Linked DNA regions of Xenopus tropicalis. The protein of the gene in region 2 interacts with the protein of the main gene of each other region in a pairwise test. Links are inferred from orthologs where the notes say so. Each region holds a gene or a part of one and is shown on either strand. Other genes may lie near its edges.

The links. The genes of interacting proteins can lie anywhere in the genome.
Region 1: the proteins of daxx (region 2) and park7 interact in binary tests that used the Homo sapiens proteins (3 or more experiments, as listed by UniProt). The link is inferred for Xenopus tropicalis from reciprocal best matches to the Homo sapiens genes DAXX and PARK7.
Region 3: the proteins of daxx (region 2) and prmt1 interact in a two-hybrid assay, tested with the Homo sapiens proteins (2 studies listed by BioGRID and IntAct). The link is inferred for Xenopus tropicalis from reciprocal best matches to the Homo sapiens genes DAXX and PRMT1.
Region 4: the proteins of daxx (region 2) and tcf7l2 interact in binary tests that used the Homo sapiens proteins (3 or more experiments, as listed by UniProt). The link is inferred for Xenopus tropicalis from reciprocal best matches to the Homo sapiens genes DAXX and TCF7L2.
Region 5: the proteins of daxx (region 2) and btbd6 interact in a two-hybrid assay, tested with the Homo sapiens proteins (2 studies listed by BioGRID and IntAct). The link is inferred for Xenopus tropicalis from reciprocal best matches to the Homo sapiens genes DAXX and BTBD6.

Annotation. Positions count from the first base shown.
Region 1 is NC_030683.2:96,565,201-96,569,434, forward strand, and holds the start of park7 (protein deglycase DJ-1), read right to left. Parts: upstream 2,801-4,234; 5' UTR 2,791-2,800; coding exon 2,701-2,790; intron 687-2,700; coding exon 585-686; intron 1-584. UniProt on the Homo sapiens protein: Multifunctional protein with controversial molecular function which plays an important role in cell protection against oxidative stress and cell death acting as oxidative stress sensor and redox-sensitive chaperone and protease.
Region 2 is NC_030684.2:72,198,652-72,202,151, forward strand, and holds part of daxx (death domain-associated protein 6), read right to left. Parts: intron 2,678-3,500; 5' UTR 2,614-2,677; coding exon 2,440-2,613; intron 1,970-2,439; coding exon 1,147-1,969; intron 1-1,146. UniProt on the Homo sapiens protein: Transcription corepressor known to repress transcriptional potential of several sumoylated transcription factors. Down-regulates basal and activated transcription.
Region 3 is NC_030683.2:111,004,572-111,008,823, reverse strand, and holds the start of prmt1 (protein arginine N-methyltransferase 1), read right to left. Parts: upstream 2,801-4,252; 5' UTR 2,652-2,800; coding exon 2,622-2,651; intron 509-2,621; coding exon of another isoform or gene 455-508; intron 1-454. UniProt on the Homo sapiens protein: Arginine methyltransferase that methylates (mono and asymmetric dimethylation) the guanidino nitrogens of arginyl residues present in proteins such as ESR1, histone H2, H3 and H4, FMR1, ILF3, HNRNPA1, HNRNPD, NFATC2IP, SUPT5H, TAF15, EWS, HABP4, SERBP1, RBM15, FOXO1, CHTOP, MAP3K5/ASK1, MICU1 and NPRL2.
Region 4 is NC_030683.2:3,317,414-3,321,663, reverse strand, and holds the start of tcf7l2 (transcription factor 7-like 2), read left to right. Parts: upstream 1-1,450; 5' UTR 1,451-1,666; coding exon 1,667-1,855; intron 1,856-2,602; coding exon 2,603-2,669; intron 2,670-2,777; coding exon 2,778-2,902; intron 2,903-4,250. UniProt on the Homo sapiens protein: Participates in the Wnt signaling pathway and modulates MYC expression by binding to its promoter in a sequence-specific manner. Acts as a repressor in the absence of CTNNB1, and as activator in its presence.
Region 5 is NC_030684.2:100,782,627-100,786,660, forward strand, and holds the start of btbd6 (BTB/POZ domain-containing protein 6), read left to right. Parts: upstream 1-1,234; 5' UTR 1,235-1,649; coding exon 1,650-1,996; intron 1,997-4,034. UniProt on the Homo sapiens protein: Adapter protein for the cul3 E3 ubiquitin-protein ligase complex. Involved in late neuronal development and muscle formation.

The DNA.
Region 1 (4,234 bases), on a different chromosome or scaffold from region 2:
AGATCATAAATGAAGAGGCTTTACATCTAGCAGGTGGGTGAGTTTTTAAAGTGTCATGTACTGAAATAGACTTTGACCTTCAAACTGTCAGTTAAGCAGCCAAGCAGGGCTGAGCTGGACTGGCACTAAAAAGCAGCTCTGGCCGGCAAAGCACCCAGCCCATGCCTGCCTGTGCTGAAAGTGAGATTATAGCGGTAAAGAATTGCTGCTAGAATGAACATATGTATTCCACTAGCTATATTAGCTAGAATTATTCTTCATACATGCAAATAAAAACTAACAAGCTACAAGCATTTGATCAACACACTACACACTCTTATATCACAAGATCCACACATGATTAGACACAAAAATCCCAATGGCCTATTTATACAGAGAATCCGGTTACCCCAAATCATATTGCAAGTGGATAATGTATGTGCCTTTCACAGTCAGAAATGTTATAGAAAAAAAAAAAGTTAATTTTAGTTTTTTTAGGCAAAATGAAGGCATGTGGTTATCCTTCACGAGAGAAAACACAGTACAGTAAGCCAAAGTAGGAGTGTTTGCCCAACACACCTATGAATAATGAACGTATACCTTACCTGTGTTCGAGCCTCCTCCAGACTAGTGTCAGGGCACAGCACCACATCTCTGCTGCACAGAACCGGATCCTTTCCACTTAGACCTGCAATCGTTACCTTTATCTGGTAAATGGAAAAATGGCAACTGTAAATAAACTTTTCTTAACAAAACATGCAACATTCGACCTGCTCTCATGAATTGCATGCAACTGTGTGCATTGACACAAGGGATCCATGGGATTAAGAGAGCCTTGACCTGCCAGTAGCTCCAGGTTTCCATTAGTGGTTTGTGCCCACAGATTCAATTGACTTACACCAAGTATATCAGACAGGAAAGCCACTATTGATGGCATGTGAATTTGAAGACCTGGAAGTGATGCCAACTGTACATAGTAACTTAGGTGCAGTTTACCAAAACACATACTATTTTCCATCAATATTTAGTATATAAGTTGAATCAGACACTATTACGAAGTGTTGTTCTGATAAAAAGACTTCCTCAGGGGCACAAAGGAAGTCTGTACACTATAGGCTTATATGGACTTTGCTGTTGAGATGTTGATACTGCTGCTATTTATTTACGTGCAATATATTTAAATTAAAAAATTATACCATTGATATTATCCTATGGGAGCACGCTCCTCTCTTTTTCTTTTGATACTATTATGTGCCCACAATAATACAGGAATTCTGAATATTGTGGAGTCTGTACACAAATGCAGTAAATGGCACTGATCTCTAAATTGTCAACACATCAAAAAATGTGAAGAATGCCTACTCTACAGCTCACCTTACAGCCAATCAGCTGCAATGTTAATAAACAACACACTGCAATTTGTGTCTAAAATTTGCCCAATGGACTGACTTCTTGAGCATATGATTGCTGGAGGCAATGTCCACGAGCTTGTAGTTATTTTAGAAGGTAGTGCTGCCAGGGTTTCTGCCATTTGCATCCCTTTGTGCCCGGGTCATAGTAAATTACCCCTTTTTGAAAGTTGAAAGTTTTTCTGGACAGGGTCTTCTTTAAGTATTGTATAGGTTGTTGGTTGTAATTGTATATTTTCTTGTTTATTTAATGGATATACCCATTTGTTGTACAACACTGTGGAATATGTTGGTATTTTATTAATAGGTGATAATAAAAACACCACAGGTCACAAAGTTACATTACACACAAGTTGCACAGTGGTTTGTTACCACTAGAGGTCTCTGTAATCATTCCTTTTTACCTAAACTGCAGTTACCAGTACCCAAAGGGCAGGTCATTGCAACAGAAGAGATATATTGCCCTCCTCTGGATCAACTAACAGACAGGATTTAGGCATAAAAGGATGAACTTGATGGATGTGTGTCTTTTTTTCAACCTATGTTACTCTGTACATATATTCTCTTATTTTGCATTCCATGAAAGGTCTAGATTTTAAATCTTTACACTTAGTGTTAAATCACATACAGACATTCCAGGTAACAGGGTAATGTTAACAAACCTTTCAGAGAAAGGGTAACTGATCCTGCTTTGTTTTGTGGGAGAGACTCTGGTCTCTATATCTTCTATATTGCGTGCCAGCAGGTTAATCACATACAGTGGCAGGAGAAGCTGGCAGGACAAGTGCAGTCATTAAATCCAGACAAACTAAGTATCTTAAAGCCCATGTATGGGGCCAAAAGGAAGGCATGCCCACTGACTGAGACCCAGCACTGACTGCCAAGGTGCCTCCCAGTAGGACAGCACAGGTCCCAATTATGAGCTGATTTTGGCACTGGGGCCAAGCAATCCCTGCAGCAGATTTCGCCTAACAACTGAGTGGGCAAATGAGGCAAAGAATCAAACGTGCTTAATTCCCAGCTCAGGCCACAGACAGCAAGGGCTGGATTTCTCCAGGCAGACATAGGCAGTGTGACTGTTCAGCAGCAGTGCTTAGCCACTGATAGAGGGACCTGTTGCACAGTCACTAACTAATGGCAACCTGCGGCGGCTACTGAACTAGAACTTCCTGATGTTAGAAATCCGTATCCAGCCAATAGTTACAGTGCCAGCGCACCACACCTTCAGAGCTCAGTGTAACCACCCCTCCATGCCCAGCAAGCTGCACAGCCATACGGTCTCGCAAGCAGCTAGCAGCCATGTATTACTCACTCCTGCCCTTCTCATCACATCAGCGGGAATGACTGTCTCCATCTCCTCGGCCCCCTTGGCCAAAATCAATAGAGCCCTCTTGCCAGCCATACTCTCTTTCTCCGCTAGCTCACAAACTCCGCCTCCAGGGCCAGAGCGCACCAATATCTCACGTACAGCCCCACCCCCTGCATCAACTGACGGAAAGCCTCTTGTGTCAAACTCTGCTTAATTCAATTAAATGCGCAACGGGGGCTCTAACTGTACATTGTATTTTTTCCGGCTTCATAGCTTGAACTTTCACATTGCGGTTACAGTGGTGCTCGACAGGTTTCAAGCTTTGCTGGAATGCTGGGAGTCGTAGTCCCGACACACCATTTCCTGCCTCAGCGCGTCCCACAGGCACAGCTCGGTCACATGACCCATGGCGTCACCTTCTGTCTGTTCTGTGAGTGTGAGAGAAAGGGAATAATAGCGGCGACTGCAGGCGCATCTTGTTCCTGACCCAGAAGGCAATTCCATGCTATTGTGCGCTATCTGTGGGAGTAGGCTGAGAGAGAGACTGGCTATCTGACGGTAGGGACCCGGCCTCACTCACCCACGTTTAACGCACACATTCCCGGTACTAATATCATTCCTGTCATTGTGTGAGTAGCTTTATAATATGAGAGGCGCTTGTACCCACTCACACACCCACTTAGCTCAAGCCCTGCCGCCATCTGGGCCCCCAGTCCTAATGGGATCTCTAAGGGAAAGACATGTTGATACTACATACATTGTATTAACATGAGCCTTTGACACCTTAGGGAGGTTGGAGAGTTTTAGTTTAACAAGTTTTCCACTCAGTATTGCATTAAGGGACCTAGCTTCTCTGCATTCTCAGGGGCCCTTTGGTCTGTAAAGTCTATGCAGACCCATTGGGACTGGGCCCACATCACTTTATTGGTAAAGTCTTTGATTGACAGGATAGGCATTCAGGCAATAGTCCAGACTCCCCAACTGAGTTTGGGCATGTTTACTCTGCATGAGAAAATTGAGTTTGCTTGACAAGTGCTACTATGGTAAAATAAGTTGCTGTGTAGCCATGGGAGCAACAATCCAAGTTCTCATGGGGCTATAGGACACACCTTTACATAGCAGATAACTGATAAGCTGTATATGATACAGTGGGCATTCATGGCTCTCTATAGGGCTATAGAATGAACCTTATAATAGAACGCGCTGGATGAACTCATACAAACGTTAGGTGTACAGAATACATTTTTATGTAATTTAAACAGAAGTTTTGCTTTTAGGATAATCTAGGAAAGCAAATCTGTGCTTTTCGTAATTGTATCACAATACATTACTGATCGACAAGTGAACAGGTGAGCAAGAAACCAATGGGTTAACAGTGCTAATTGTAAAAGAGGCACCATTGTTTTAGGTACTGTATTAATAGATGTTTTCAGGTCAGGCTGCTCTGTAGCAAAGATGGGAGTGCCTTTTTACTTTGTATTTCTATTGGCTTTTTGCTAAAGGACCCCTCTCATAAAACTCCCTAGGCTTTCGGACT
Region 2 (3,500 bases):
ATCAACAGACTCAATCAGTTCCAAGCCAAATCCAAAAAATCCTTGAATCACAAAAAAACATGTAATTTTACAAAACACGCCAGTTAGTAGAGCTTCTCCAGCAGAATTCTGTAAGGAGTCTGTTTTCCAAAAACAGCAAACACATTTTTTTAATATCTGATTTTAAATTTGACATGAGGCTAGCCATTTAGTTTCCCAATTGCCTTCAGCCATGTGACAAACTTCAGTCGCTTATTGATGAATCCATCATGATTACTATATAAGGCCAAATATTATCCACAAACAATTCACCTGAATACTAAACCAAGTCTGAATTTACGTAAATAAATCTCCCCTCATCCACCAATATGCTTTAAAGTCATATGAAATTAACAATCCAGATTCAGTTTAGTCTGGACAAATCCAAATCTGCATGACCATTGGAAAAGCACTACTCCAGGAACTGAAACATCTAACAAATCCACATAATAGAAAGCACCAATGCTTGGCACGTTGTTTTTTTTTGTTTACCCATCTCTCATTCTCCACTGACTTTCAATTCCTGCAGCAGCACTCTCTACATATACACAAGCTGATCCAATACACACACGTGTTTTGTTCATTCATTGGTGGGTCTAAGGTACTGGAATGATGAGCACCCTTTATTTATGGACTAATAAATGTTAAATTTTAATAACCTGAAGATGCCACATAGGAGTGAAGCTAATGTTATGCTTTATCTTTTATTGAGTCTGATACCCATTCCACAGGAAAAAGTAAAAACCATTGGATAGTCATGGAGGGGTGGGAAGGAGGAAAGAATGATCAAAAGAAAAAAAGCTAAATTACAGATTTCACACAAGGGAACCGGAAAAAGAAAAAGGGGGTAAAACATAAAGGGATAGGCTAAACAAAGACTAAGTAAAAAGGAAAAAATCAAGGGTGTATGAACATCAACCACTTCTCAGTCAAAAGATATCACTATTCCTAAAAACCAGAATCAAGTGTTCATTTTTACCTTTTTAACACAAAGTGTAAATGTGAATGCTGTTATAATTTAGGAGCCTGCATACATTTTTAATCCATTGTGCAAGTTTTTTTCAATCACACCTAGACAGAAGAACACATGACCAAGAGGAATAGCATTTTCATCTTTTGCGCATTTACCTGGCTTATAGGCATCAGTGAGGTGGCATCCAAAGTTATATACCAGATCGAGATGCCTTCTTTCCTGCAGTCGATTTCCTAGCTCACGAAATGCATCCTGGGCCATCCCTTCCATTTGTCTGCGCACCAAACCAAGACTGTGCTTCTCATTGGCCTTTTGTATCACTCGAAGTACATCACCATAGTCTGGGAAGCCATCACTAGTTTCATTTATGAACTTTTGCAACCTGCGATTAACTTCTGGGTAACGCGTGCCACAATATTTAATCTTCTGCTCTATTACTCGACCAGTAAGGCTGGGGCAACCCTTCAACTGACAGAGTTTGTGGAAGATGCAAAGTAGTTTTCTTTTAAGACGGGATTCCTGTATGTATGAAGAGTCCTCATCTTCCAGTTCGTCAAGGCTTAACTCTTTCTCCTGCAGTTTTTGAATCTCCCTTGAAAATGTCTGAAGCAGGTTTTCAAGATACCGAATTTGAGCTTTGGAACCAGCTTTCTTTGATGTACTCTCCTCTTCTTCCTTTGTTTCTTCTTCTTCTATTGTGCTGCCTCCCTCTATATGTTCTATGGATGTTGTATGATGAGCAGGTGACTTTAAGATAATCTTGCGCTTGGTTGTATTGGCCTTTAGTGCAGTACAAAGTTCATTGATATAAACGTAGACTTTTGTGTGCTTACTTTGCACCCTTGTGAGACAGCGACCCAATATGTTATGAAACTCAACAGAGGACAAGAAAGAAGGGCTGGCCTTGGAAAGACGACCTCTGAGAAAAACAATAACTTCAGGGTGTTCTTGGGTGAGCCTGGTGCAGTAATCTACAAACTGAAAAGTTTAGAGGTGATTGTGTGTAAGGATTAATGTGAAAAAAGAACAAAATTTTAATTAAAGGTTTTATTCATCTTTGAATTCGCTTTTAATTTTATAATTTAGAGAGTAATAATCTGAGACAACTTGCAGTCAGTCAGTCTTGATTTTTTATTTAAACTGCTCTCCATTTTAGAATTTCAGCAATTTACTCTACCAACCAGGCAGTGGTTTGAATAGGAGATTGGAATATTAATAACCCCCCCCCCCCCATCTGAAAGCTATAAAGAGTCAGACGGAAAAGGCAAAACATTCGGAGAATTGGTCATTCTATTACATACCCAAAAACAAGAATGATTGGGAACAGCAGAGAGAAAGGATATAAGTTGATCAACCATGGGCTGGAGTTGAAGAAAGAGGGAAAAAAAAGGCTACAGAAAGGGAAAGCAAAACACAGGAAACAGAGATAGTGACTTGAAAAACCCTACCTTTTCAAATAACGCGGTATTCTCTGCACTCATCGAGCCTGACTTCCTCTTGCTTTCTCTTCCTTTCTTTCCATTAATTTCTGGTGAAAGCCGCTCGCAAGTTGAATCATTTGGAACGACATTTGTAGTATCTGTATCATCATCTAGTATTATAACATCATCCACAAGAGCCATTTTATAGCGAACAGGACCTTAAGGAAAAAGTTTTGGCGGAGACAACATGGCATAAGCCATAGACCTGTAAAAAATAAATAAAATGAGATGTGCATTTACAAATTGTAATTTATTTTTGGGGGGGTAATCTTCTTTAAAATGCCATCAGTACTCTGAATTCATGAGAAGACATGTTTAATACACTGGTGTACAATACTATGTACATAAGCCTTCCAAACTTACATTACTGACTATAAAAATAAGCCACAAATAATGTAACAGCCCCCCCCCCCCCCCCCAGTCCAATTCTTTCCTTCCCAAGTCCAATATGTTAACCAATCATTGTCCAGTGTTCTTATTATATCATGTCCTTTGACGCACAATCACTCTGTACGGTCTTTGGTGATACAATGTTCCAGACAACACGTGATGAGATGTTGGTGACTGACTTGTTCGTCGAGCTTGGAGATGAGTGACTCAGTATACTTTTAGATGTAAACAACTTATATAACAACTTTCAGCTACAAAAACAAGCATAGCTAAATAAGAACTATAACTTTCTCGTGTAAACCTTTGTTCAGGCCCAGACCTCTGTCCAAGTAAACTTAAACATATCCTCACTACATTTAACACTGTCTACTTTTAAGGTATGGTTAAAAAACAGTAAAACGGTAAGTTGGTCCCAAAAAGACAGCTACTACATAACTACAAAGCTTCTCTCTGTCAAATGACTAAGATACAACAACTCAAATATAAATGCCAGGGCTCTTATGAACAGTTTGAAGCCCAATAAACATAACATTACAAATTTATGAGTCCTATAGAGGCCCCACACAATGGAAAGTTCTACAGGAAATTTACACAGGCAAAAACAAGTAATGAAGAACAATGGAGAATGCAATAAATGA
Region 3 (4,252 bases), on a different chromosome or scaffold from region 2:
ACAACTGGTCTGAAACTTTATTCAGCACCCTGAAAAAAGTATAGGTATAAGTCACTTTTAAAAAGAGACGTAAAGGTAAAAATCACTAGGAGGTGTGACCACCAGTAATTCTACTCATGAAGCTGGTGCCCGAGTCCAGTAATCATGAATACAGGAGTATAGCCCCAACATTTTTATCCTATTTATGGTGCATCCCATGAGCAGCACAGCGAGTCCAAGATATACTGTACTACACATGTGCACTTGGGCAGAAAAGCATGGCGGCAGGGTGCTCAGAAACAAGCTTCCTGGGCACCAGCCTGTGCATGCAAGTTGGGATTTTTACCTTTACTTCTTTAATCAGGCTGTAACACCACTGCACCACAGTACCATGTAGTGAAATGGCATTTGTTACATGAACTCTAAAGCCAAGTTGGCCAAAACACAACTAGCCAAAAATTTAAAGGATATTTACATCTTCTATTGGAGTCCGCAGGCTCATTCCATTGGCCAACTTGGCTACAAAGTTCTAGAAAAAAGTAACATGGAAAAGTTCACAATGTAACTTGTTTTTAAGCTAGCCACAGGTCAAGCCAGCAACAGCCAAGCATCTAATTTCAGACAGCTTTAAAGGAAACATGTGAAAATTATGAAATACAGAAGGATTGTGCTAAAAAAAAAGTTGTGTCTTGGACTGATTGAAAGATTCCCCCAAAACCCTAATAGTCCTGCCCATCTGTTTCACTAGATGTGAAGGGGGGCTGGCAGCACTCTGTACACTGCACTGTAGGATAGGAACCAATCGGTTTCCCATCAGGTTGGCTGACCTGATAGGGAACTGAAGCCTTTGCTTGTGTGACTGCCGGACTGTGATTGCCTATTTCCCCATTACTGTACTTCTGGCAGGGATCTTAAGGACACGCCTACCCCTCATTTGAAGCACTGACAGGAACCTGAGGATCTATAGGGAGCTCCAATAAAAGTAAAGCCAGCCCCAAATATTCATAATTGCCTACAAAATCAGTTTTTTCTTCATTTAGCCAATGCCCCCTTTAAAGTTAACAGGTCAAAGGTTACAGAATCACTACTGCTAATCACCATCAGTAAGCCAATGGCCATCAGAGCTTAGGTCAAGCCCCTTAGTTTACAGCAAGTCTACAGATGCAACTTGTAAGGCTTATACAATCAAATATGTAGAACAGTTTCAGCCCCACACATCTTAACACCTTCAAAATGAAAATTTAAGTAAATCTAGGAAAGTAAATAGTCTGCCAAATCTTACCAAAATTAGCATTCAATATAAAAGCACCACCATAAAATAGATCAGAATATGGAGTTCCAGGACCTTTAATAATTGCACTCAGCCGGAGGTCTTGTATCTGGGTATCTGTGCATATGTATGTAACACAACCAATCTGGCAATTCCAGAGGAGCCGCTTTAAAATACCATAAACCGTAACTATTCAGTGGGCTACTGTACTTTAAATACCAAAACCTATTTTAAAACCCAGTCCAGAGCTACATACATGTATTCAATGGGGCTTTATATATAGTTTCTAAATTTGCCTTCTAACCGGTCCAGCTTTCAGATGTGGGTCTCAGATCCCAAGAATCTTTGCTCTATATGGCCACAATTGTATTACTTTTCACTGATTATCGTACTATTCAGACCTACAATTCATATCCCTGCCCTTTGTTCCAACCACTCCCTGGTTGCTAAGGCTAGTAGAACCCTACCAACCCAATAGCAGCTGGAATTCCAAACTGGAATGTTGAACAAATTGAAGTTAAAAGACCCAACAAAAGAGACCAATTGCAAATTCTCAGATTACACTCTACCTCATTCTGAGTAACTCAGGTGAACAAACCCTCTATAGCCCTTTACCCATCAACCCTCTAGCACAGTCCCAGAGAATCTACAAAAAGCGATCTAACACATGGTTGTGTCGAATAAAATAAATGAAGTTGGTTTAGGATCGACCCCCCCCCCCCACTGAGCAGGAGGAATGGCGGGACACTAGAATCTCATGTCTCACAAGAGACAAGGGGAGCCGTTAGCATGCGGCCATGGCCCACCCCATTACTGAGAGACTGCTCGATACAAGCCGGCAGGAAGAATGGCGAGCCGTGGGCAGTGGGAAGAGCGCGGCGTGGGACACACGTGTTCCGGCTCCAGCCAGGCCCGGCTTTGTGCTACCGGCATGTGGGCGGGGCTAGGGGCGGGGCATCGCCTGGGGAACACGTGGCCGCTGGCTTCTCAGCACGGACGCGCTACTTACGTCACGATATCTCCCCACGCGTGAAATTCCCCGCAGTGGACGCCCGTGTGCGAGGCTCCTAGCCGCCATTATACCACATCCCTTTAAAAAGGACGAGTCACTGCTGTACTACAGCATTATCGCCTCCCCGGCACCCTAGGGGTTCTGCAGAACCGCTCAACAGAGACCCAGGCCCTGCGGCGTTTAAGCCCTAAGTGAGCAAATTCCAGCCATTTAACGGGGCGGCCATGGGGCGATGTGCTAGTTCGCCGCCATTGAGAGCGTAGAGTGTTAAAGAGTTAAAAGGCCGCAGTGGCCTCACAAAGCGCTCGGCTATAGCGCACAGCCCACCCACTCCCCATAGCTCTTCTCTCGGCTAGTTACCTCCATGTTGCAGGTGCTCGCTTCAGCCATGTTTGTCAGTCTCTCTCACGAATCTAAAAAAGAAACTCAAAGCCACGCCACCGGCTTTGTACGAGAGAACTGCGACATGCGCTTCGGCCCCTTTGCCTTTTATATAGAGAAGCACAAGCCCCGCCCACACACGGCACCGCCCCGGCGTCCTTCGCGCGTTTTTTTCTACCCCTCAACAAGAGCAGATTGTGCCTTTCTTCGCGAAACTGATCCGCCCCCTCCCATCCCCGTACTCCCATTGGCCAGTTTCTATAAATCTTGGCCCACTCACTGGCAGAGGGCTCCGCCCGTCAGTTCGTTCGCTTGGCTGATTGGTGAGTTTGTTTAAAACGTAAAACATTGCGTAATAAAATGGAGTCTTTGTATGTTGAGCTAGCTTAATTTTAGTAGTTCGAGTTTCGGCCGAGCGGTACTGGAGTCACAATACTATTCTTGAAAAAATATTTTATTAGCCTGGGTTATATGACAGAAATCACACATATATCCTCCGAGGAAGAACTGGACTCAATATAAGCCTTATCAGTATAAAGTGAGCTGACAAATCTGTGCACACGACTCCATGCCTATGTTATTGTCCAATGTGTCCTCTCCAGTCATAAGATTCCATGAAAGCAGAAACCTGTAAAGTGCATCACATCTCTACTGTTTTGGTTGCTAATACTCTGAATTAAACAGATAGATATAAAATACTTTAGGGTAAAGTAAAGGCTTCCCAGAAATGTATGAATGTTTATTAAAAAACATAAACTTTCCAATATTTATAATGTAAAATATAATCTATATATTGGAAAGTTTTTTTTGTTAATAAACAAATGCATTTGTAGACTATTTGAAAGAAATTGCTTCCAGTGCCCTCAGCAGTATCAGCCTGACCCATTGGCAATACTGCAGGTAGTCACTAGCACATTGGTGATAAGGGTCATTAGTTGGTATTTGGTTTTAGCTAGTTATTTTTATCATAAACAGGTCTATATACTAAAACTAAATGCAAAGGTGAACATTCCCTTGAAATTAAGCCAAATAATAGGTTCCCAAACTGCAGAGTGCCATTGAGCCCTATGGGAGACTTTCCTTGGGCCAGGTTGGAGCTGCAGAGTGCCATTGAGCCCTATGGGAGACTTTCCTTGGGCCAGGTTGGAGCTGCAGAGTGCCATTGAGCCCTATGGGAGACTTTCCTTGGGCCGGGTTGGAGCTGCAGAGTGCCATTGAGCCCTATGGGAGACTTTCCTTGGGCCGGGTTGGAGCTGCAGAGTGCCATTGAGCCCTATGGGAGACTTTCCTTGGGCCGGGTTGGAGCTGCAGAGTGCCATTGAGCCCTATGGGAGACTTTCCTTGGGCCAGGTTGGAGCTGCAGAGTGCCATTGAGCCCTATGGGAGACATTCCTTGGGCCGGGTTGGAGCTGCAGAGTGCCATTGAGCCCTATGGGAGACATTCCTTGGGCCGGGTTGGAGCTGCAGAGTGCCATTGAGCCCTATGGGAGACTTTCCTTGGGCCGGGTTGGAGCTGCAGAGTGCCATTGAGCCCTATGGGAGACTTTCCTTGGGCCGGGTTGGAGCTGCAGAGTGCCATTGAGCCCTATGGGAGGCTTTCCTTGGGCCGG
Region 4 (4,250 bases), on a different chromosome or scaffold from region 2:
GTGAGAGTGTGGTGTTGAGTGTGCAAGAGAGAGTGTGAGTGAGTGTGAGTGTGAGAGAGAGTGAGTGTGCGAGAGAGAATGAGTGTGTGAGAGAGAGCGTTAGTGTGTGTGAGTGTTGTGAGAGAGTGTGTGAGTGTGCGAGAGTGTGAGTGTGCAAGAGAGTGTGTGTGCGAGAGAGAGTGTGGAGTGTGGAGAGAGTGTGAGTGTGCGAGACAGAGAGAGAGTGTGAGTGTGCGAGAGTGTGAGTGAGTGTGTGTGCGAGAGAGTGTGTGAGTGTGCAAGAGAGTGTGAGAAAGAGTGTGCAAGAGAGTGTGAGTGTGCAAAAGAGTGTGCGAGAGTGTGAGAGAAAGAGAGTGTGAGAGAAAGAGAGTGTGTGAGAGAGTGTAAGTGTGTGAGAGAGTCTGTAAGTGTGTGAGCAAGTGAGAGTGTGAGAGACAGAGAGCATGTGTGTGACAGAGTGAGAGAGTGTGAGAAAGAGAGTGTGCGAGAGTGTAAGTGTGAGAGAGTGTGCGAGAGACAGAGAGCATGTGTGTGAGTGAAAGAGAGTGTGTGAGAGACAGTGTGTGACAGAGAGAGAGACGGTGCAAGAGTGTGAGTGAGTGTAAGTGTGTGTGAGAGAAAGAGTGTTCGAGAGTGTGTAAGAGACAGAGAGTGTGAGTGTGCGAGAGAGACAGTGTGTGTGAGAGAGAGACGGTGCGAGAGTGCGAGAGAGTAATAAGACAGCGGTGCTGCCCCTCTGACAAGCTGGAGACTTTCTGCTTTCCCATGATGTGAGCCTTCCTCCTCCTCCTCCTCCTCCTCCTCCCCAGCCCCATAGAGAGTGCACTTCCCTGTGCTGCCCCTCCTGCCTCCCTCCTGCCTCCCTTCTGCCCTCCCCTTCCTTCTTTCCCCACTTTCTAAAGTGCACTTGTCTCTTTGTGCTCATGTTGTTGGTCTCCTAGCTGCACCCTGTCACCCTGACTCCCCCCCCCCCAAACCCAATCACCCCCAGCTCAGGGGCACTTTCTGCCTGTTACCCCCCCCCCCATGACTTTTTCTCTCTCCCAAATTTTATTTTTTGCTGACATTTATTGCTGCAACGTCAGCAGGCAGGCCCCGCCCCTGTGCATGTCATTAGGGCCCCCCCCTGAGGGTGCCTGTGAGTGAGCTCCTTTCCATGCCAATAATCCTGGATCCAGACTCCCCTCCTCCTCTTCCTCTCCAGCTGTCAATCACAGGCGCCTTTGAACTGAAAAGCTTCCCAGTCCGACTTGCTCCGACTCAATTGGGGCGAGTGCAGCTCAGTACCGGGCTCTCTGTGTGTCTCAGCCCGGCTTGGGGCCCGGAGTAGTTTGGGGGGGCTGCAGTCGGACTGAGCCGCGGATTTGGGGGCCGCGCATTTTGCTCTTTTTCTCTCTTTATTTTTGGCTTCTTGTTGTTGTTGAATCTGGCGGAGTGCGGAGCCGGGAGGTGGGGGCCCCGCTAACCGGACTGGCACAGCCCCCCCTTTCCCTCCCAGCCCCCCCACCGGCAGCACAAAGCAGGGGAACAGCCCGGGGCCCCCTCTCCCCCCCACATTGCAGGAGCCGGGAGCGGCCAGGGGAGGAAGGGAAACTTTTTTTGTCGGAGGGGGGAATCTTGGGGCTGAGTCTGGGAGTTGCAGTGCGACAGAGTAGCAGGGGCAGAGATGCCGCAGTTGAACGGCGGTGGGGGGGACGATCTGGGGGCCAACGATGAAATGATCTCCTTTAAGGATGAGGGGGAACAGGAGGAGAAAATCTCCGAGATCAGCTCGGCCGAGCGGGACCTGGCGGATGTCAAGTCGTCTCTTGTCAATGAGTCTGAGACCCCCCAGAACAGCTCGTCCGACTCTGAGGTAAGGGGGGGCAACATGTGGGGGCACATGGGGGGGGCAGATAGTGGGGGCAGATAGTGGGGGCATGGGGCACATGGTGGGGGCAGATAGTGGGGGCATGGGGCACATGGCGGGGGCAGATAGTGGGGGCATGGGGCACATGGCGGGTAAGGGGCACAGAGGGCAAGAGGTTGGGGGAACAAACAGGGAAGCGCATTGGGGCACAGAGGGCAATTGATTGTTGGCAGAGGCAGTGTGGGGGGCAGAAAGGGCACAGAGGGCAATTGATTGTTGGCAGGGGCAGTGTGGGGGGCAGAAAGGGCACAGAGGGCAGAGGGTCGGGGGACACAGGGGCAAAGAGTCTCAAAGTGAGGGGGGCAAGTAATAAAGGGGGGCACAGAGGAGAAGCCTCGGTGAGATATCGGGGGCACAGTACCAGCCTGGGGGTAAATGGAGTGGGTGTTTGGGGTAAGTAAATATTTGGGAAGAAGGGGGTAATAGTTGGGGCATAACGGGTACGGGGTGTTGCCCCTGGCAGGGGGGAATTACAGGTAAGTGCCAGGGGGTAAGTGACCTTCTGCCCCAATACTGGCATTTGCAGGAAACTTGCCCTTTGCCGGGAGTAGTGCCCAGAGATGCCCTAGTGTGGGGCAGTACGGGCAGAACTATATACTGGGGCAGGAGTGAGGGCACAAGCACCCCAGCAGGGGCAGATTGATGGGGCAGGTTTACACGCCCGGGGGTAACTGTTTCTTTCCCCCGTATCAGGCGGAGCGGCGCCCCCCTCCCCGGTCCGAGAGTTTCCGGGACAAGAGCCGGGACAGCCTGGAGGACGGTGAGTTCCGAGTGCGGAGATTGGCCGATACTGGGCCGATATCGGGCCGGGCCCGGGCATTGTTTATTGCTTTATAATAAAACTTTACTCTCTTTCCCCCCCATGTAGCTGCCAAAAGGCCCGACGGAGGGCTGTTTAAGGGCCCGGCATATGGAGGTTACCCCTTCATCATGATCCCCGACCTGACCAGCCCCTACTTGCCCAACGGATCTCTCTCTCCCACTGCCCGAACGGTAAGTGGCTCCTCAGGGGAGGGTCCCAGGTAGCAGCCCCGCCCACTGCCCTCTCTGTGCCTGATCAACTTTGATTATATTGCTGCACCCCCATACTGCTTAATTATTACTCATTAGTACCCCCCCCCCCCACTTTGGCCTTGTACTAACACCCTTGGCCTTTGCCTGTCCCACTAATAGTATTCTCTCATTAGTACTCATTAGCCTTTACTATACTGATACTATCTATTCTCTCATTAGTACTCATTAGCCTTTACTATACTGATACTATCTATTCTCTCATTAGTACTCGTTAGCCTTTACTATACTGATACTATCTATTCTCTCATTAGTACTCGTTAGCCCTTACTATACTGATACTATCTATTCTCTCATTAGTACTCATTAGCCTTTACTATACTGATACTATCTATTCTCTCATTAGTACTCGTTAGCCTTTACTATACTGATACTATCTATTCTCTCATTAGTACTCGTTAGCCCTTACTATACTGATACTATCTATTCTCTCATTAGTACTCGTTAGCCTTTACTATACTGATACTATCTATTCTCTCATTAGTACTCGTTAGCCTTTACTATACTGATACTATCTATTCTCTCTTTGTTATATATTATTACACCCTCCCTACACTTTCTCTAATAATATTAATACTCTCTCCTGTTACTCTGCTTTTATTTCACACTTTGCCTCGTTACTTGTTATATTCCAATTTAATACTCTGTTTTTATTAATTATTAAATATTCCAATATTATATCCTCGCTGCCCCCTGTGTATTAATACTCCCTATAATTACCCTTTCTGTTATTGGTAAAGATACTCTCTCTCTTCAATACCTTGTCTGCTATTTTATTATTATTATTATTACTATTAATACTTTCCCTGTTTTTGCATTAATACTCGGTGTCTTTTCTGATTGTACAAATACTATTTATTAAATACATTCTCTCTCTCAATAAATTCTTACCTCTTTCTGTTATTCCTCTGACACTCACCTTCCTTTTTATTCCTATTAATTCTCTGCTTTTTATTTGAAATGTTTTCCCCATTATTTACCCCCCCACGCTACTGTTACTCCCACATTATCTCTTCCCTTAAGAGAGAAAAATTAATTTTTTTCACATTGATCTCCAACTTGTGGCTGTTCGGCTGAGGTTGTACTACAACTCCCAGCATCCCTTACAGCCTAAGGGCAGTGGGTTGGGGGGGGGGTCACCAGAGTATAAGGATTATTTTTCTTGCCTTTCACCCCCCTGTTTCTTTGGTTTGACCCCGGTGTTTCCCACGTGTATATCTCTATATCTCGCTGTATAGTAATATTGTGTTGCTGTGTGTAGCTGCAGTGT
Region 5 (4,034 bases), about 29 Mb from region 2:
GTGACAGGAAATACAAAATGCACACATCACCAACCTTAATAAATCTGTAGCTGATTAACTTCATTGCTTACGTTATGGCCTAACTCATCACAAAATGCCACAGGGGACAAATGACAATATAAATGAGAATCATGCAATTTGAGGAGCACACTCTGCGAAAAGCCACTACTGACGATATCCTATGGCTTCACTTTATTATAATGTGGTCCCAGCACAAAGTATATAATAAATAAGAAGCCCACTACATCGAAAAAGCTTAAACGACGCAGATGTTGAATAAAAGTTTCTATTTGCTATTACAAGCCATCTGACTGCACTATAACATGTGTTTATACACGCTTGCAGTAGAGCAGCCAATACTGGCTGAGATAGACACAGAACAGGCGAAGAACAAGGGACATGGGGATAGGAAGGCGCGTATTGTCTTTCTGCTTTGTGCTACGAGATACACAACTTCTTTCCATTGGTGGAAAATCATTGTTTTGAATCCGGACGGGAAAAAAAACTTCCCGAGCAAGCGCCCCCTAGCGCCCGACACAGAGAAGGACGCATCCCAAGAAGAAGTGAGGAGAGAAGGAAGGGAGCGAGTGCCTGGGACTGCCCCTCACTGCCATCTCCTCATCCCACCGTCGATCCCGATGCGCCGAGTTCCCTCTGCAAGGTACGGAACACTGCGCACAGGCAGCAGGAGCTCATACGCGACTCCCAAGGCTCTGCAGCTGTTGTACGACTAGAACTAGCACTCTCCTCATATAGCCTGAGGCTGCGCTGGGAGTTGAGAGTTGTAGTGTCACAACAGCTGGACGGGCGAAGGTCGGAACATCCCTGCGAGCTAACGAGTGCTGCAAATTGCAATACTCAGCGGGATGTGACTGCCCATGGGCAATGCCAGCTGAATGTATACATAAAGCGGGTAAGACTTTGCAAGCGGTTTAACTCTCGCAGTGCCTAAAGGCTATGACGTTGCAGCTGAGTACACCCCTCCATTATTCTACTGGGGAGAATTGCTATGCCTATGGGCTGCTAGAGCACGGAAAGCACCGGGCTAGTGGAAGAATGACATATTGTGTGATCTAGCTGCCCCTTCAGCTCCCCTCTCCCTGTGTGACAGGGGCTGTAGATGGTGCAAAGGCTGCTGTGAATGGCTGCGCTGCGCGCATTGATTGGCGGAGGCGGGCGTGACGCGCTGGCTGGCTGCTCCCTATTTGAGCTGTAGCCTTGCCCCTGTACACGTAGAGCAGCACTGAGAGGAGGAGGAGGCGCTCTGCGATACGCTGGGCATATGCTCCGCAACACAAAAGCAGAAGCAGCTGGTGCATCCCAGAGAGGCAAATCGCAGCCCCGCATTACTCGCTAGGATGTGATTGCCCGGCGTGCCCACTGCTAGGGGCTGTGTGGGATTACCGTGCCAGCGGATAAGGAGACGTGACAGGGCTGGATACTGGGGTCTTGGGGTTTGAGAAGCATCTTGGGAGTGTAAGCGCTGGCCTTGGAGTGCCCTCCCTCGGTTGGGCGCATTATTGCCCTGTGATGGACTATCTATCGGTGCGGGACTCAGATCGCTTGGCAAGTTCTAGGAGACTGTCTCATCGGGTGGCTGATGCCCAAGCCATCGCACAGAGGACCTGCTGCTAGCCGCCCCCTTGCCCATGCCACTAGACCCAGGCTGCCTTAATGGCAGGGTCATGAAGTGTTTGACTTTCTTTCTTCTGCTTCCAGAGACCTTAAAGAAGTCTAGAAAGAGTGCCAGGGCACAGGGCAAGGTGCAAGCATGCTATGAGATAGTGCCCTTGGCCCTCAAGAAGAAGATGGCTGCAGAGCTTTACCCTGCCAGCGCAAACACCAATATCGCTAACAGTAACGCCGCTGCCAACGCCAAGAAGAACGCCCTCCAGCTCCAGCAGGCTGCCCCGCCGCCGCCGCAACTCCACAACCTCAACAACAACAACATTGAGAGCGGCAACTGGCAGTCCTTCCACCCGACCCTGCGGGAGAGGTGAGCCCACAGCGCCCCCTGTGCCCATCCGCTCCCTCTGGTACCCAGCAGCACCGTGTGGCAAAGGGCACCTGGCTGGTAGAGCCAAAGCACATTCGGCTGCCACAGTCACAGCCCTAGCGAGTAATGCGTATATTCATTTACTGCCATTACTTTGCAGCAGCCCTAGCATAAACATAGCACATACACTGATATTAGTACAAAAAAAAGAGCTAGCCCTGCACGTTTTGAAGGAAAGTGATACAAGGTGTGGGTTGCAAATAGGATATGTGATATTAGGTTGGTAGAGTTCACCTCTAAATAATTGAAGTAAACCAAGCACAGCCCCATAGAGAGACCTGAAGCAGTAGTATTAATTATAAAGCTACACTACATAGCTAAGGTTCTGTGGAGCTCATTTATCAGCCTATTCATTACATATATGGCACTATCACAAACATTACTATGGTGCTGTCAGACCCTCTAGTAACCAATCACAGCTGAATGCTTTCAGAGGATGCTGGGATAAGCAACTGAACAGATGAAGGGTTGCAGATAGGAGGTCCTGTTCTGCTGTGTAAAAGCCAATTAAATGATTAGCAGCGTTAGCTACACTACAGCATATGCATATCCGACACACAGCTAGCAATATAGAGCTGTTTTACTGCATTCAGATGCACCACGTTGCACTGATTTATCAGTCTTATGATTTGAAACCAGCAAGAACAGTGTCATACTGCACTGCCACACACACAATCCACAAGGCTAACCTGCAAGGGTGTCAGTGTCCATCTAGGAATTTCACTGACCGTAAGAAAAAGCATCAGACACACACCTAGAAAACCCCTTACAAGGTTACCAGATGGCTCCCACTACTGTTTGTAGCAGAGGACGGCATGGTGTCCCATAAGTGTTTTTTGCTCAAACGATACCATGAACAAAAACAAAAGAATTTCATTTACTGAGGGCAGGTTCAAACCAGCAAAAAGAGCAACAGATCTTAACGCATCATTTGCCGAGTTAAGGATTTCTTAATTTTGCCTTGCCTGCCAGAGATTCAATGCCAGTTTTGTATCTGCTGTTAGTTTAGAACACAAAGTGGCTATGCTTGTGAGCTGGTAGGTGAATGCAAAATATGTGCTAGCATGCCAATGGGCACCCTCATGACCGTTGGTGTTTTCTTTTTTGTTCTTTATTGAACTGTAGGACAAATTTGCTAAAGGTTAATCACTTTAATCACTGCAGTGAAATAAACCTTAGATAAGGGTAACATTACCAGTATGCATTGTGAATGGCAACAACATAGTATACCTATGCCTTAAACCAGCCAATAAGCCAGCAAAATGTAAATATTCCTTCTCATGGGGCTGTCCTGCATCACTGCAGTTCACAATACTCTTTTCAACACAAAATCAATTAGGAGCAGCTTTTTGGAACAAATGATCAGTATGTTGATTGGACAGGTTTTTTTTTTTTTTTTTTTTTTTTTTTAATCATTCTTCCCTGCTGGGTGGGAGAAAAGCACTGAGTCATGTTAACTGAGCTGGGGTAATGCTTTCCTTAACATTGTCTGAAACCAATCACATCCTGGTCAGTGGACCAAACCATTCTGAATTTGGTAGCACAATAAAAACAAAGCAATTCTGAGAAAGCATGATTGCTCAGGATTTGATTTCCACTAATCTAAAGATGCTGAGAGTTTCTATGAACCATGTGAAATCCCAGAGATTATTACTAGTAATTTAAGTGCTACAAGATTATATTGGCTAATCCTAGGAGGGGTTGTTTACACATTTCAAATCACAGGGTTATAGAATAACTTGACACTAGAATTCAGCTTTATGTATGAGCAAATTATGCTGGAATTACTATTAACAAGTATAATGTGTAATAAAACATACAGAATACATACCATTACTGTTAGGCAGTAGAGTGGGCCCTGCTCTTTAGAATTTACAATCCAAAACTACATATATAGTGTGTATATATATATATGTATCCAAAATACCAGGTAACAGCTTCAAGTGAAGCTGTTTTATTGATTTTTACTCAGCAAGCG